3 linked regions of the Rattus norvegicus genome follow. The protein of the gene in region 1 interacts with the protein of each later gene in a pairwise test. Links are inferred from orthologs where the notes say so. Each region holds a gene or a part of one and is shown in the gene's direction. Other genes may lie near its edges.

What was found.
Region 2: the proteins of Ythdf1 (region 1) and Dhx30 interact in a two-hybrid assay, tested with the Homo sapiens proteins (2 studies listed by BioGRID, with this or other methods). The link is inferred for Rattus norvegicus from reciprocal best matches to the Homo sapiens genes YTHDF1 and DHX30.
Region 3: the proteins of Ythdf1 (region 1) and Prrc2b interact in a two-hybrid assay, tested with the Homo sapiens proteins (2 studies listed by BioGRID, with this or other methods). The link is inferred for Rattus norvegicus from reciprocal best matches to the Homo sapiens genes YTHDF1 and PRRC2B.

What each region holds. Positions count from the first base shown.
Region 1 is NC_086021.1:188,414,941-188,418,885, reverse strand, and holds the start of Ythdf1 (YTH domain-containing family protein 1), read left to right. Parts: upstream 1-1,145; 5' UTR 1,146-1,289; coding exon 1,290-1,316; intron 1,317-1,682; coding exon 1,683-1,707; intron 1,708-2,860; coding exon 2,861-2,940; intron 2,941-3,945.
Region 2 is NC_086026.1:118,972,459-118,976,608, reverse strand, and holds the start of Dhx30 (ATP-dependent RNA helicase DHX30), read left to right. Parts: upstream 1-1,345; 5' UTR 1,346-1,395; intron 1,396-1,480; exon of another isoform or gene 1,481-1,912; intron 1,913-1,951; exon of another isoform or gene 1,952-2,069; intron 2,070-3,105; 5' UTR 3,106-3,197; intron 3,198-4,150.
Region 3 is NC_086021.1:35,861,693-35,865,855, forward strand, and holds the start of Prrc2b (protein PRRC2B), read left to right. Parts: upstream 1-1,358; 5' UTR 1,359-1,413; coding exon 1,414-1,528; intron 1,529-2,045; coding exon 2,046-2,223; intron 2,224-4,163.

The sequences.
Region 1 (3,945 bases):
CCCAGTGATCCACCTGCAGGTGCCTCCCTCTGGTGTCCTCTTACTGACAATGTGTATCAGAAGCTAGGACATTTACTCCAACAAATCCAGGGACCAAACTCTCCCCAGAATGGATGTGTGGATGCATCTGGGTGTTGGTCCCTAGCAGTGTTCTTGCAGTCATATGATGGCTCACGATTTGCCTGTTATTCCAGTTCTAGGCAATCAGACACCTTTTCTGAACTTCACCCGCACCAGGCACATACATAGTGCACATATATACGTGCAAGGAAAACACTCATACATAAATGTATGTATTAAATTAAAAGGGCTAGAGAGATGGCTCAGGACATTAGAGCATTTGCTGCTCTTTCAGAGGATCTAGGTTAATTCTTAGCATCCACTTTGGGGTCCGAACCATCTATAACTCCAGTTCTGGGGCACCCTCCTCTGGCCTCCCTGAGCACCAGGCACACATGTGGTGCATAGACATACACGCAGGCAAAACACTCATACACATAAAATAAAATTAATCTTTTAAAGCTTATATTCAAAAGATTTGTTTTATTTTGTGTGTGTGTGGGGGGGGGGGGTAGCGAGTTCCCTGAGCAAAGAGCTTGCCTGAAAGTGAATGACTAATGGAGTGAGTTCTTTGTTGGAGACTCTGAGGGACCAACTGAGCTCTCCCCACGTGGAACCCAAAGGGGGACGCCTAGCTTTCCTCAAAGTCCTCTTGTTTTTTACTCTGGGTGATGGAATCGGGTACAGAACCTAACGTGAACATTGGTCACACACTGGCACGCTCCGGTCAGGCCCAGATTGGATAGGTCAGCCCAGCAGCCACAAAACTCTGGGACAGGTGTAGCTTAGCTACAAACTCCCACCTTCTCCCCAATAGGCGCCGCCCCAGGAGCCGCACGTGACTCCCTGATCGCCCCGCCCCATCCGGTCTGGTCCCGCCCCTCCAGCGCGAGACTGAGTCCCAAGCGCGAAATCCTGGGCAAGGAGCGACGATGCGCAGGCGCGGTAGTGGCGACTTGACGGCGCTCCCGGCCTGCCCCGCGCGCTGACGTCGCGCAGCTTCGTCCCAGCCGCCGCGGCCGCCATTGGAGTCGGCGCCCCCTCAGCCTGTCCGCTACCTTCCGCTGTTTCCCGCTGTTCCGGCCTGCGTGCCTACAGCTGCCGCCGCGCCCGGCCGCGCCCGTGGAGTTGGTGGCGGGGCACGGGACCGCGCGCGGCGTGACAGGCCCGGCCTCGCGGGAGGCCCGAGCCGGCGGCGCCGGGGTCCCGCGCCGCGCTGTTCATGAAGCATGTCGGCCACCAGCGTGGACCCCCAGGTAGGGGCGTCTCGGGACCACGGTCACGAGACCAGACCGTGGACAAGGCAAAACAGAGGTTGCGGTCTGGGTCGCGCTGGGGACCTGGAGACTGGGCTGGGGTTAGGGTGCGGGGTCCGGGCTGGAACAGGGAGGCCGGGTCAGGGCTTGGATCTCAGGGCCGAAGATCTGCATACCAGGCCGGGCTGGAGTTCTGGGGTCGGATGGCGGGGTCGCTTGGCTTGGCTGTGATCAAATTATGGGAGATCTGGAGGCCGGGCCGGGGTCGCAAAGCCCTCCGGGTAGCATTCTTCGCATAGTAACTTTGTGTTTCCTTTCCCGGGCTGGGTGGTGTCCACCCGCATATCCTGGCCTGCGGCGATGCAGAGAACAAAAGGACAAGAGAATAAAGGTGAGGAGAGTTCCGGGAAGTCTTCCGGACTTTGGAGGAGAACGGGGCAGCGCCAGCCCGTGTGGACAAGAGAAAGTCCACCAAGCCGGCCTGGGATCCGAAACTTAGTTTTCTCCGTCAGCTTGGAGGAGATGAAAGTTTCCATTTCCGGGGTATTTGACAGATTGGAGGGGAACTAGAAAAAAAAAAATAAAGGCGTACCCGGAGTAGTTCAGATAATATTTTGCAATTTCCTTAATGACTCTGCCAGAACAGTTACCTGGTGGGGAAAGAAGTGGTGATAAGACGGCCTTGCAGAGGTTAGCGGGGCTGAATGACTGACTGGTCCTCTGTTGCTAGGTAGTGGATGGCTCTGGAGGAGAGTCAGCCAGCTAGCTGTGGACCGGGAGGCCCTGCCCTCCACCCTTAGTTACAGTCATTGTAAGTTTGTTGTTATCGCCTGTGATAATTCTGGCTTGTAATAAACTTCCAAAACTCTTGTGAGAACTCGAGAGTGACACTAAATCTTTGAAAGACTGTTTTTAACCAGTGCGTGTTGTTGTTACTTGGGTGTAACCAAATATGGTTCATCGTGTTTTAAGGTTGGAAAAGGCCCAACACTTTATTTACCATTCCTTTCCTTTCCTTTACTGGCTGTGCACTGTAACAGTGGAAAGTAAGTGGAGAATCAGATGATAGTGAGCTTGGGTTACAGCCCTTTCCAACCGAGCATCCTTCCCTCAGATCTCTGCGTAACTGGGCTTTTAAAGCGTGTGTCCTGTTTGCCTGGAACAGGTAGATCTGAGACACTGTAGATTTCTGCATCAGCCCGTGGCCTAGGGGAAGCCCTGGGTTCAGTCCCCCGCTTCCGGGTGGGGGAGGAGCCATCACGAGACTGGCTCAAAGTCTGGCTGTAAGTTTCTTGCCCTTTGTTTTGATTGCAACAAAATGACATCTGACCAAATTATGATTATATTTTTACTTAAAAGAAGGAATTTAGGAAAAGTTGTTCAATGCCATTCTAACTAGTCATGTAAGCATCAGCTCTCTATAGAGAGTGTACCCATTTTGAAAGAAGATCATATCTACCAGAAATTGATGAAAATAAGGTTTCCATGCTTAAAAGTATTTTTTTTAAAGTTTGGAGATAATGTCTTGCAACTTTTTGTTCTAGTACAAAATGGTTCTTTGCATCAGAAGGATGCAGTTCATGACAATGACTTTGAGCCCTACCTTTCTGGACAGTCCAATCCGGTGAGTTTATTTTATTAGTGTAATTTTTATTTAAAAATATGCTTGTAATAGGTTTACTATAATATGTCTACTTTTCCATCCCACACAGCAAAGAGACAGGCTGGGAAGTATTAGAACTGATAGGTGGTCTTGAAGATTTGCTTTGTGCAGGTCTTCCTTTGGGCCTGGGCCTGAGTGGTGAAGATGGTCTTCTCTCTGTAGGAGAGCATCCCCTGGAGGTTGGGTTCAGGCAGACTTAGCATTTGTGGGCTGGTGGTGGAGTGCTTATGATTTATAGGACTGTGTGGGTCCCGTAAGCTTTGCTTGTGCCATCTTTATGTTGTCTCTAGAGGGTTGGAGTTACGGTCTAGGAGAGTAGGTAAGCACTGGACAGTGCAGCAGACTCCTTTTCTGTGTTCTTCCTACATCAGGAGACTTGCCTTCCCTGATTCTTAGCTTCCTTTTGTATGAATAAAAATCCTAGGCTGGAGAGATAGCTCAGTGGTTAAGAACACTGACTGCTCTTCCAGAGGTCCTGAGTTCAAATCCCAGCAACCACATGGTGGTTCACAGCCATCTGTAATGAGATCTGATGCCCTCTTCTGGTGTGTCCAAAGACAGCTACAGTGGACTTATATACAATAAATAAATCTTAAAAAAAAAAAAAATCCTGCTCTCAGGCCTGTTGGGAGATTGGCATTGGAAAGGGCATGTATAAAGCACAGAATGAGCACCTTATGATCAGGATTTCTTACCTTTGGCACCATGAAACTCCTTCTGTGTTCATGTGTATGTATATACAGGCACAGGTCTGTGTGGCTGACTAGGTGTGCGAATGGGGGGTGGTGGAATAGATATGCTGACCTGATGCTAGTATGCAGATGGGGGATGGAATGCATATACAGATGTGATGTTGAGGTCAGGAATAATCTTTTGTCACCTTCTGCCTTATTCAGTGATGCAGGGTCTCTTAAACCCAGAGCTTGCCAGTGTGGCTAAGTCTAAGTTATTTTGGGAATCTCCTGT
Region 2 (4,150 bases), on another chromosome or scaffold:
CTTCTGGAATAGTTGAAGTCACCTGTGCTGTGGCACATTTAAATGGCTGCACAAAAAAACAGCATATGAAAAGGGGCTGGAGTTATGGTTCAACGGTCACCAACACTTGCTGAATCAGTAGTTTGTTACTGTTTTGTTTTTTGGTTGATTTGACAAAAGCTAGAGTTGTTTGGGTATCGAACCACAATTGAGAAACTGCCCCCACCAAATTGGCTTTTGGGCATTCTCTTGAACGACTGATGTAGACAGGGTGAGTGTTTCTGTTTTTTTGTGAAGGGGGGGTGTCTCCCCTGGGGAGACAGGAAATTCTGGGTTGTGTATCAGCTTGCACAAGCCATGAGACCTAAGGAAGTAAGCAATGGTTCCTCCATGGTTTTTGCTTAAATTCCTGGTCTGACATTATTCAGTGGCTGATTGTCACCTATAAGATCAAGTAAACCTTCATCCCCAAGTGGCTTTTGGTCATGGTATTTTTACCTCAGCAAAAGAAAACCTAAGATAACGGCGGGGCCCACATCAGACCGTATCTCCAGCTTCCAAGATCTCATGACATGTCAGCTGGTACATTCCCACACGCATACGCATGATATTTTCTTTGTTTTAAATTACGAGCTATAGTATTAGTTCTCCAATTATCATGAAAGGCATCCTCAAATATTCTCTTCCCAGCAGTGAACTACTGACCAACGCCACTGAGTTTCCTCTACCAAAGGATGAGTCCATTGAACCCATACTTCATTCTGCTCAGAGCATAGATAGGGAAGCCTTCCCTTTCCTCGCTCCTGAGAGGCGATGTGACCTAGACTCGTGGTTGTCACTCACCACACACCCCCTAAGCTAGCAGCAAGCGCTACCCTGTCCTTTGCCTGGTTTATGTCTCTGTGAGGAAAAATGGCTCACCTCCCTAAAAGTGCAGAAGATCAAGGGGAGGCGCAGGAGAAAAAAGGCGCAACACAGAGCTGAGGTTGGGGATGGCGAGAAGAACCAGAGACGGCCATCCCCCTCCCTAGCTCCCGCCGGCTCCCACGGCACAGGCCACGCGCGTCCCTGGCCGCTCCGCCGGAAGTCCCGCCTGCGTCTGAGGCTACAGCCGCGCGCCCTCCGGCCAGTGCCCGGGCACAGGCTCAGACTGAGCGCCTCGCGCTGTGAGCTCAGGAACATTAGAGACAACCTAGGCCACAGAACACCTCGCGAGCCCCTAAGAAGCGACATCCCGCACAGGTGGCTAGGCGAAAGGCGAAGGCCGAGCAGCGCCGGGGCCGCAGGTGGGACTTCCGCCTCGGAACCCGGAAGGGACCGCGCCGTCGCTGGTGGGAGTTGTAGTCCGGCCGTAGTTGGGGGGGCCCGCGGCTCATGCGCCGTGCACCGAGGCTTGTTTCACATCTGTAACAACAGGTGAATTGGGCTTTTTATTCTACCCTTTCGCGCCCCTTGAAGCAGCCTGCCACGGTCGGGGGTGGTCGGCGCGAGGAGGGGTCCCGAGTCCGGCTGGCGACCTGGCGGAGAGTGGGAAGGAGGAGCTGGCGAGCCTGAGGAGCAGGCCGGGCATCCTAGGCCTGCCCGGGAAGCCGGCCGGGCCGAGCCGTGGGCAGTCAGGCCTCGGCCTGCCGTTGCCATGGAGCCGGGGCGGGGCGGGGGCCAGACCGGTCCGCCGGGGCGGGCCTCGCTGCTAGGGGCTCCGCGGAGGCAGAGAGAGGCGGCTTCATTGGCTCGACGACGCCTTCGCCTCAGGGGATGCTCGGTTTTCCCCTGGCTGGGCCCGGAGGAAGTCTCTCGAGTGCCCGAGACCTTTGTCTGCCCCTCCTCCCACTGTGCGGTCAGGACCGTTCCTCCGAAGGGAGGCCTGGTGCATTTTTTACTCTTCTGGTTTGCCTCCTTTTGCACCGACCTTGTCAGTGGGGGAGTCTAAGGGGTGAGGTGTTCTTTGTTTGCTAGTGACTTGTCCCATTTTGCAGGGGAAGACCTAATGCATGGTGGGTCCTTTGTTTGCAGTGAAGTGGAATCCCAGGGGTCCCGAGAACCCTCAAGCCAAGAGTACTGCATCTATGGGCTTTCTAGATAGTCCTTGTGTAAGCAAGTTTGGTGTTTTAATTGCGGCTTTCCAATGCAGAGACTGTTCACCTTACAACCTCCAGTTCATGGGTGCTTGCCATGCACGGTAGCAGGTAGACTGCAGCAGTCCAGTTGCAAGGTCTCAACTTGTTTTTGGGTGCATCCTACTGGCCAGAGTAAAATTACACATTTTCTGATGATTTTCCTTGTAACGGTTTCTTGGAAGGCATTGACCTCACTGCCATGTGCCATGCAACTTTTGACTACATTTATAATTTATACTTAAATCTTAGAGTCTGACATTTCCAAACCGGGGGACTGTTTCCTGATTTTATATGTTATTATTTAGATTTATGATAACGCTTTTTGCTTGTACATTTATAAATTCTTTGCCAAGGTTTATATCTATGTAGTACCCCACCTGACACCCAAAGATCTTAACTTTTCAGTATTTTAATTTATGAAGCTATAGTCCAAAAGTTTTATCAGCTTTTGGACCCCACTCATTCTTTCAAGGAATGAACATGTTACATGTAGAATACAGGTTGATATGTAAGGAAAGTAGTGTAATATAAACATGTAAAAACATGGGAGTCAGAATTCCATTTTGTCCTGATGCTTTGGGATCCTGGGTAAATTATGTTTGTGCTTCAGTTTGTTTCTTGGGGAGAGGATACTCTCCATAGGGCAGCTTCAGGGATTATATGAGGTCAAGTCTTTGTAAACTGTGAAAAGGTTTCTGGGATTTTTGAGATTGTAAATTTCCCAGAGTGGAAGTGTCATTTTCGATAGATAGGTATTTTAACCACTATGGGATTAGAAAAGTGAAGGAAGGGGCTTTGCTCTGGGCTCGGGGAAAATGTCCTTAACATTTCCTTAAGGATGCTCTATGGCACAATTCACATTTGGTATGTCTAGAACAGGTCAGGGACTCTTGAGTGAGTCCACTGTGTGAAAGCCTGTTAAAGTTAGTACATTGATTTCTATGCTTGGTATAGTTTTGCATCTGAGTGAAGGTCACCACTCCAGTGAACTTGCCTTGTTATTTTCCAGGAGGCCCAGCCTCGTGATGAGGAATAGCAAGGAGAGAATTCAGCTCCAGTTCGAAAGCCTGCAAAATCTGAGCCCCTCACTGCTTTTATAAGGTAAGGTGACTTATCCCTGCTCATAGAGCCATGGTATGCATTTTGCTCAGCCACACCGTAAAGCATGTAGTTAGCTCCTTTTGTGGTCCTCTAAGGCGTATTGTTCATTATTAGTGGCTTGGAGACATCACGTAAGCAGTGTACTAGAAGTTCTGTTTTCTCACAAAAGAGATTTTGACATACTACAATTTTATGCATCTCTATAAATTATATTAAACTGAATCAAAATTTTTTTAAGATTTATTATTATAAATCTTAAAATCAAAACTGAATCAATTTTTTTAAGATTTATTATTATAAATGTGGCTGTCTCCAGACATAGAAGAAGAGGGCATCAGATCCCATTACAGATAGTTGTGAGCCACCGTGTGATTGCTGGGAATTGAACGCAGGACCTCTGGAAAAGCAGCCAGTGCTCTTAACCTCTGAGCTACCTCTCCAGCCCTGAATCTAATATTTTAAGAAACATTACCATATTATAAGAGAAGCACATTTCTTCTGGATCTCTGCGAAATGTTCTAGAACACAATAAAATGAAATGATTTGATACCTTGAATCTCATATTTTTTGAGATGAAGACAGGGAAGACTGTGGTATATGAAACTTTGTTGACAAGAGAGGATCCAGAGACTTTAAAAGCAAAACTCTTCTAGGTATGGTGACTCCTGTCTGTAATTCTAGCACTTGGCAGCTAAGATAAGAGGGTTCCTTTGAGTTTAATCACAGTCTGGGCTACAGAGTGAGTTCTAGACTAGACTGAATAACAGAGTGAAACTTTATCTAAAAACACCCTAAAAATGAAAACCAAATTTAAAACAAAACCCAAGGGGCTAGAGAGATGGCTCAGTGGTTAAGAGCACTGACTGTTCTTCCAGAGGTCCTGAGTTCCAATCCCAGCAACCACATGGTGGCTCACAACCATCTGTAATAGGATCTGATGCCCTCTTCTGGTG
Region 3 (4,163 bases), about 150 Mb from region 1:
AATGTCTTTATTGCACTAAGCTGTATCTGCAGCTCCCACATGCATTCCCCCCACTTTGATTTTACTGTGTAGCCCTGGCTGTCCTGGAACTCACAGAGCTTCACCTGCCTGTCTTTGAGTGCTGGGATTAAAGGTGTGCACCCCCACCTCCTGGCTCACCTGAAGTTCTTCAGGGCATTTCCTGGTACACACTGTGTTCGCACACTCCTGCAGCACCTGGCCAGTCTTCATGGTTTGTGCCCGAGCTGCCACCTGCGCCTCTGATGCGTCAGGAGACAAAGATGTGGCATCAGTGACTCTGTCTCAGCTGTCGTAATCGAGTGTTGCTTCTCGTGCTTCATAGTCTAAGGTCGTGGTGTGCGGATCTGTCCCAGACACCCATCTTATTGGGCTCCACATGCCTCCCAGGAACACTGATGTGTTCTCCTGGCCCAGGTAGCTTCAGGACAGAGTCACAGGATGGCAGATTCGCTGTGACAGCTGTCTCCTCCTTCTCCCTTTTCCTAGACATCCTGTGAGGCCATGAAGGACATGTGACTGTGATACTCGGTGGATACTCTTGCTTTTTATTCCATACTTTGCTTCGGGGTTAGGAAGTCATGGCCCTTGCACAGCCAAGTTCAGCATCTCTACTCAGGGCTGGTGTAGAGCGGGAAGAAGGTGGGGAAGGTTGGTCTCGGTCTTGGTTTCACTGAGCACAGAGCTCACCGATGGTAGACAGGCATTTAGTGTTGGAATGAGTGGATGGATGGATGAACGGGTGAGTTAAAGAGCAGACAAGGAGAGTGCTGGTAGGCATATTGGAAGGTAGAAGCTTCCAGTCTTTTTGAGGTTTTGTCTTCGTGGAGGGGAGGTGCTGGTACAGCTTCTCACAGCCACCCCGCTCTGTTGCATGGCTGCTGTTCTCCAGGTGCTGACTCTCCCTGGCCCATGCTGTCCTTGGTCCCAGGTCACTTGCTGGGGTGCGTTTCCCTTGATCTGTGGCTCCGGCGGGCTGTGCTCCTCCCTCAGGCTAACTTGCTGCCTTTGGTAAGAGCTGGAAGTCAGGAGTGTTGTTTCCTCTTAAAAGAGTTGTCCTGGATTTGGAGAGTGACGGAGTGTGTCAAAATCTATTCACAGTGTGGCACGGCAGCATTCTCCAGCTTGTCTCACCAGCATGGCTTGAGTGTGGGTGTGGTAGCCCAGGCTATCTGCAGAGCCGGCGGCCTGGAGCGAGCACCTGTGGGTAAACGCTGAGGGCTTTTGCCTCGGGAGAGTCCATGGCTGTCCTTTCACCTTCAGGATGTCCTCTCTTCCTGAGGGATTCGATCCTCTGTATTGTCCACTTGGTGACTGACCTCCTCTTTTCCATTTCAAAGGCAAATCGGGAGCGGTGCCGAGAAAAATTTCCTTACTAGATGACATTTCATCGCAATGTCCGATCGTTTGGGGCAAATAACCCAGGGCAAGGATGGGAAAAGCAAGTACTCGACTCTCAGCCTGTTTGACAAGTATAAAGGGAGGTCAGTAGGCGCAGTCAGATCCTCAGGTAAGGCCCGGCGAAGGCCCCTTGTATGCTCACCCGCTTCCTTCCCTTGTAAGATGGCCAGGCCCGGCCAGGCACATGTGTCCCTGAAGACTAGTCAGTGTGGGCAGGCAGCAGGGGTGACATAGCCTCACCCCTCTTACTTTCCTGGGTCTGACTTTTGGACCCTGGTGGAACAAGTTCATGTAGGATTTGTCGCCACCCACAAGGCCTTCCTAGGGGTTCTAGGGGCGCAGCCAGGACCATGTCATGGTGCAGGGGGTGGTCACTGTGGGCTGAGCTTCCTGGGCCTGACTCCTTCCTGGCAAGAGCTCCTCCAGCTCTTTCCTGCCAAGGTAGAGTGCAGATGCCCGCAGTCTTTTGTCTGTAGTCTGGGGGAGGAGCTGGCGGAGGCTGGAGCGACTACCATGCTTGTCTTAGCTTGGCTTTTGTTTTTCTCCTCAGCCCGCGCAGTGGTGTGTGTTTTGGCCTCTCTCCTCCCGTGAGGTGTGTGCTCTCTCCCATGTTCTTTTCCTTGCAGTTATTCCTAGACATGGCTTACAGAGTCTCGGGAAAGTTGCCACAGCCCGGCGTATGCCACCGCCTGCAAACCTGCCAAGCCTGAAGTCTGAAAACAAAGGAAACGACCCCAACATCGTGATAGTTCCCAAGGACGGGACAGGATGGGCCAACAAGCAGGACCAGCAAGACCCAAAGAGGTGAGCTAGCTGCAGGAGGAGGTTACTGGGGAGGACGTTGATGGTGGGGGGCTGGGCTGTCAGGGCGCCCTGCACCCTCTGCTCTGTGGGACGCAGGCGTGGCCGTGTAGAGGGAGCTCTGGGGGTAAGGAGTATGGACAGGTGTCTGTGACTCTGTGCTCTTTGCTGCTTGCCTTTGTTTGGCTGGGCCTTTGAGCTGCTCGGTAAGTAGCATTTCTTTGGATAACCATATCCCCAAGGGAATGTGTGCAGTGACTGAGACCTGTCCCCGGAGAACCACTAGGTTGGGGTAGGGCCCTGTGTGCTCCATGTTAGGAGAATGTAGCTTAGCAGCTACAGCCTTAGGAGACTGAAGTCCCGAGCCATGCGTCTCTAGAGAGACAGCAGGCACTTGGCCTGCACAAGCTCCTCAGATGGTGAGCCTTCTGTGCTCCCTGCGTCTCTGTGTGTGTCAGGGAGGAAGCCGAGTCTGGGGAGGAGCTCCAGAGGCAAAAGCCTCCCGTTGGAGCTTGCTACTGGGTCCTGGGCTATTTAAACAGTTTGCAGCCAGGGAGAGTGGAGCACGCCTTTAACCCTGGCTCTCAGGAGGCAGAGCCGGTCATATCGTTACAAGTTGGAGGCTAGCCTGGTCTGCATAGTGAATTCCAGGCTAGCCCGGGCTACATGGCGAGACACCATCTCAAACAGAAACAACAAAAAATACTGTTTGTGAGGGGTGCTGTAGATTGGGGGCGTAACACAACCGTCAGGGTCACTTGCCGTTTCCAGTCAGGTCATTTGTGATTTGCTGGGACTTCTGAACCTGGGGGGTCCCACCTTCAGGGAGAAATAGTCCCTAGCTCCAGGGGTGGCCACCAGGGCACTGTGGTGCACTCTGACGCCGAGGGTGCGCACGGGTCGGCTGTTACCACCGTCCGTTTGCATGGGGGTCGGCTGTTACCACCGTCCGTTTGCATGGCAGCCATGGTAAGATGTGCTACAGTTCAGTGGGGATGCTGGACTCCACTTCTAGGAGCTGCAGAGGGGAGAGCCGCAGAGGGCCACCCCTCTTGGTCTCCCAGCAGTGGCAGGGGCAGTGCAGACACCTGATGAAGGCCTCTTGCTGAGGAGGGAGTGAGGAGCACTTGAAGAGGCTCCCATTGCCCTGGCCTGGTCTCCTGTGGGGACTTGGGGATACAGAAGTGCCACTACCTGGAAGCCTCATTTTGCCATTTTTGTGATGGGTGAGTGGCTGGAGTTGGTTAGCAGTGTCCGCAGAGTTAGGCTATCAGCCGGGCCCCTGGCAATGGCTGCTTCTCACCGAGTGGGCTGTCAAGTACAAAGCTCTGCTGTGGAAGAGCGGAAGGCTCCACGTAGCCCTTCCTGTTGTCCTCTCAGACAGTGGGCACACGCTGCTGCAGCCTCTGTGGAGGTAGTTGGTGGTAGCTTGGTCTGACAGCTTCATCTCCGTGATGGTGTGACTGGGTTACTTACCCAGAATGCCCAGAGCCCTGTGCCCGTGTGGTCTAACATGTTTGTTGCAGTTCTGTCTGTAATGGGGAAGAAAGAGGAGCAGGAACTAATTAACTTATAGCTCCTCCAACGGCTGTTAGTCACCATTAAAGGAAGTTTATATATATGTATATATATATATATATATATGTATATATATATGTGTATATATATATATGTATATATATATGTATATATATATATATATAATGGACTGGAAGAAGAGATTGTGGAATTATATGTATGGGGCTATCTCGTGTTAAAAATATTATATGAACATATGTATATGGAAACGTGGGAATCAGAGTTTATCTATGTGGGATGAGATGGTCATGTCTGTTACTGATTTTTATACATTTATTTTTATTGAGTGCAGGCATATGCTGAGGCAGGATAGGAGTCTGTCAGTTGTCAAAGCATTTGCTCTGAGGAGGTGGAGAGGAGCCCTG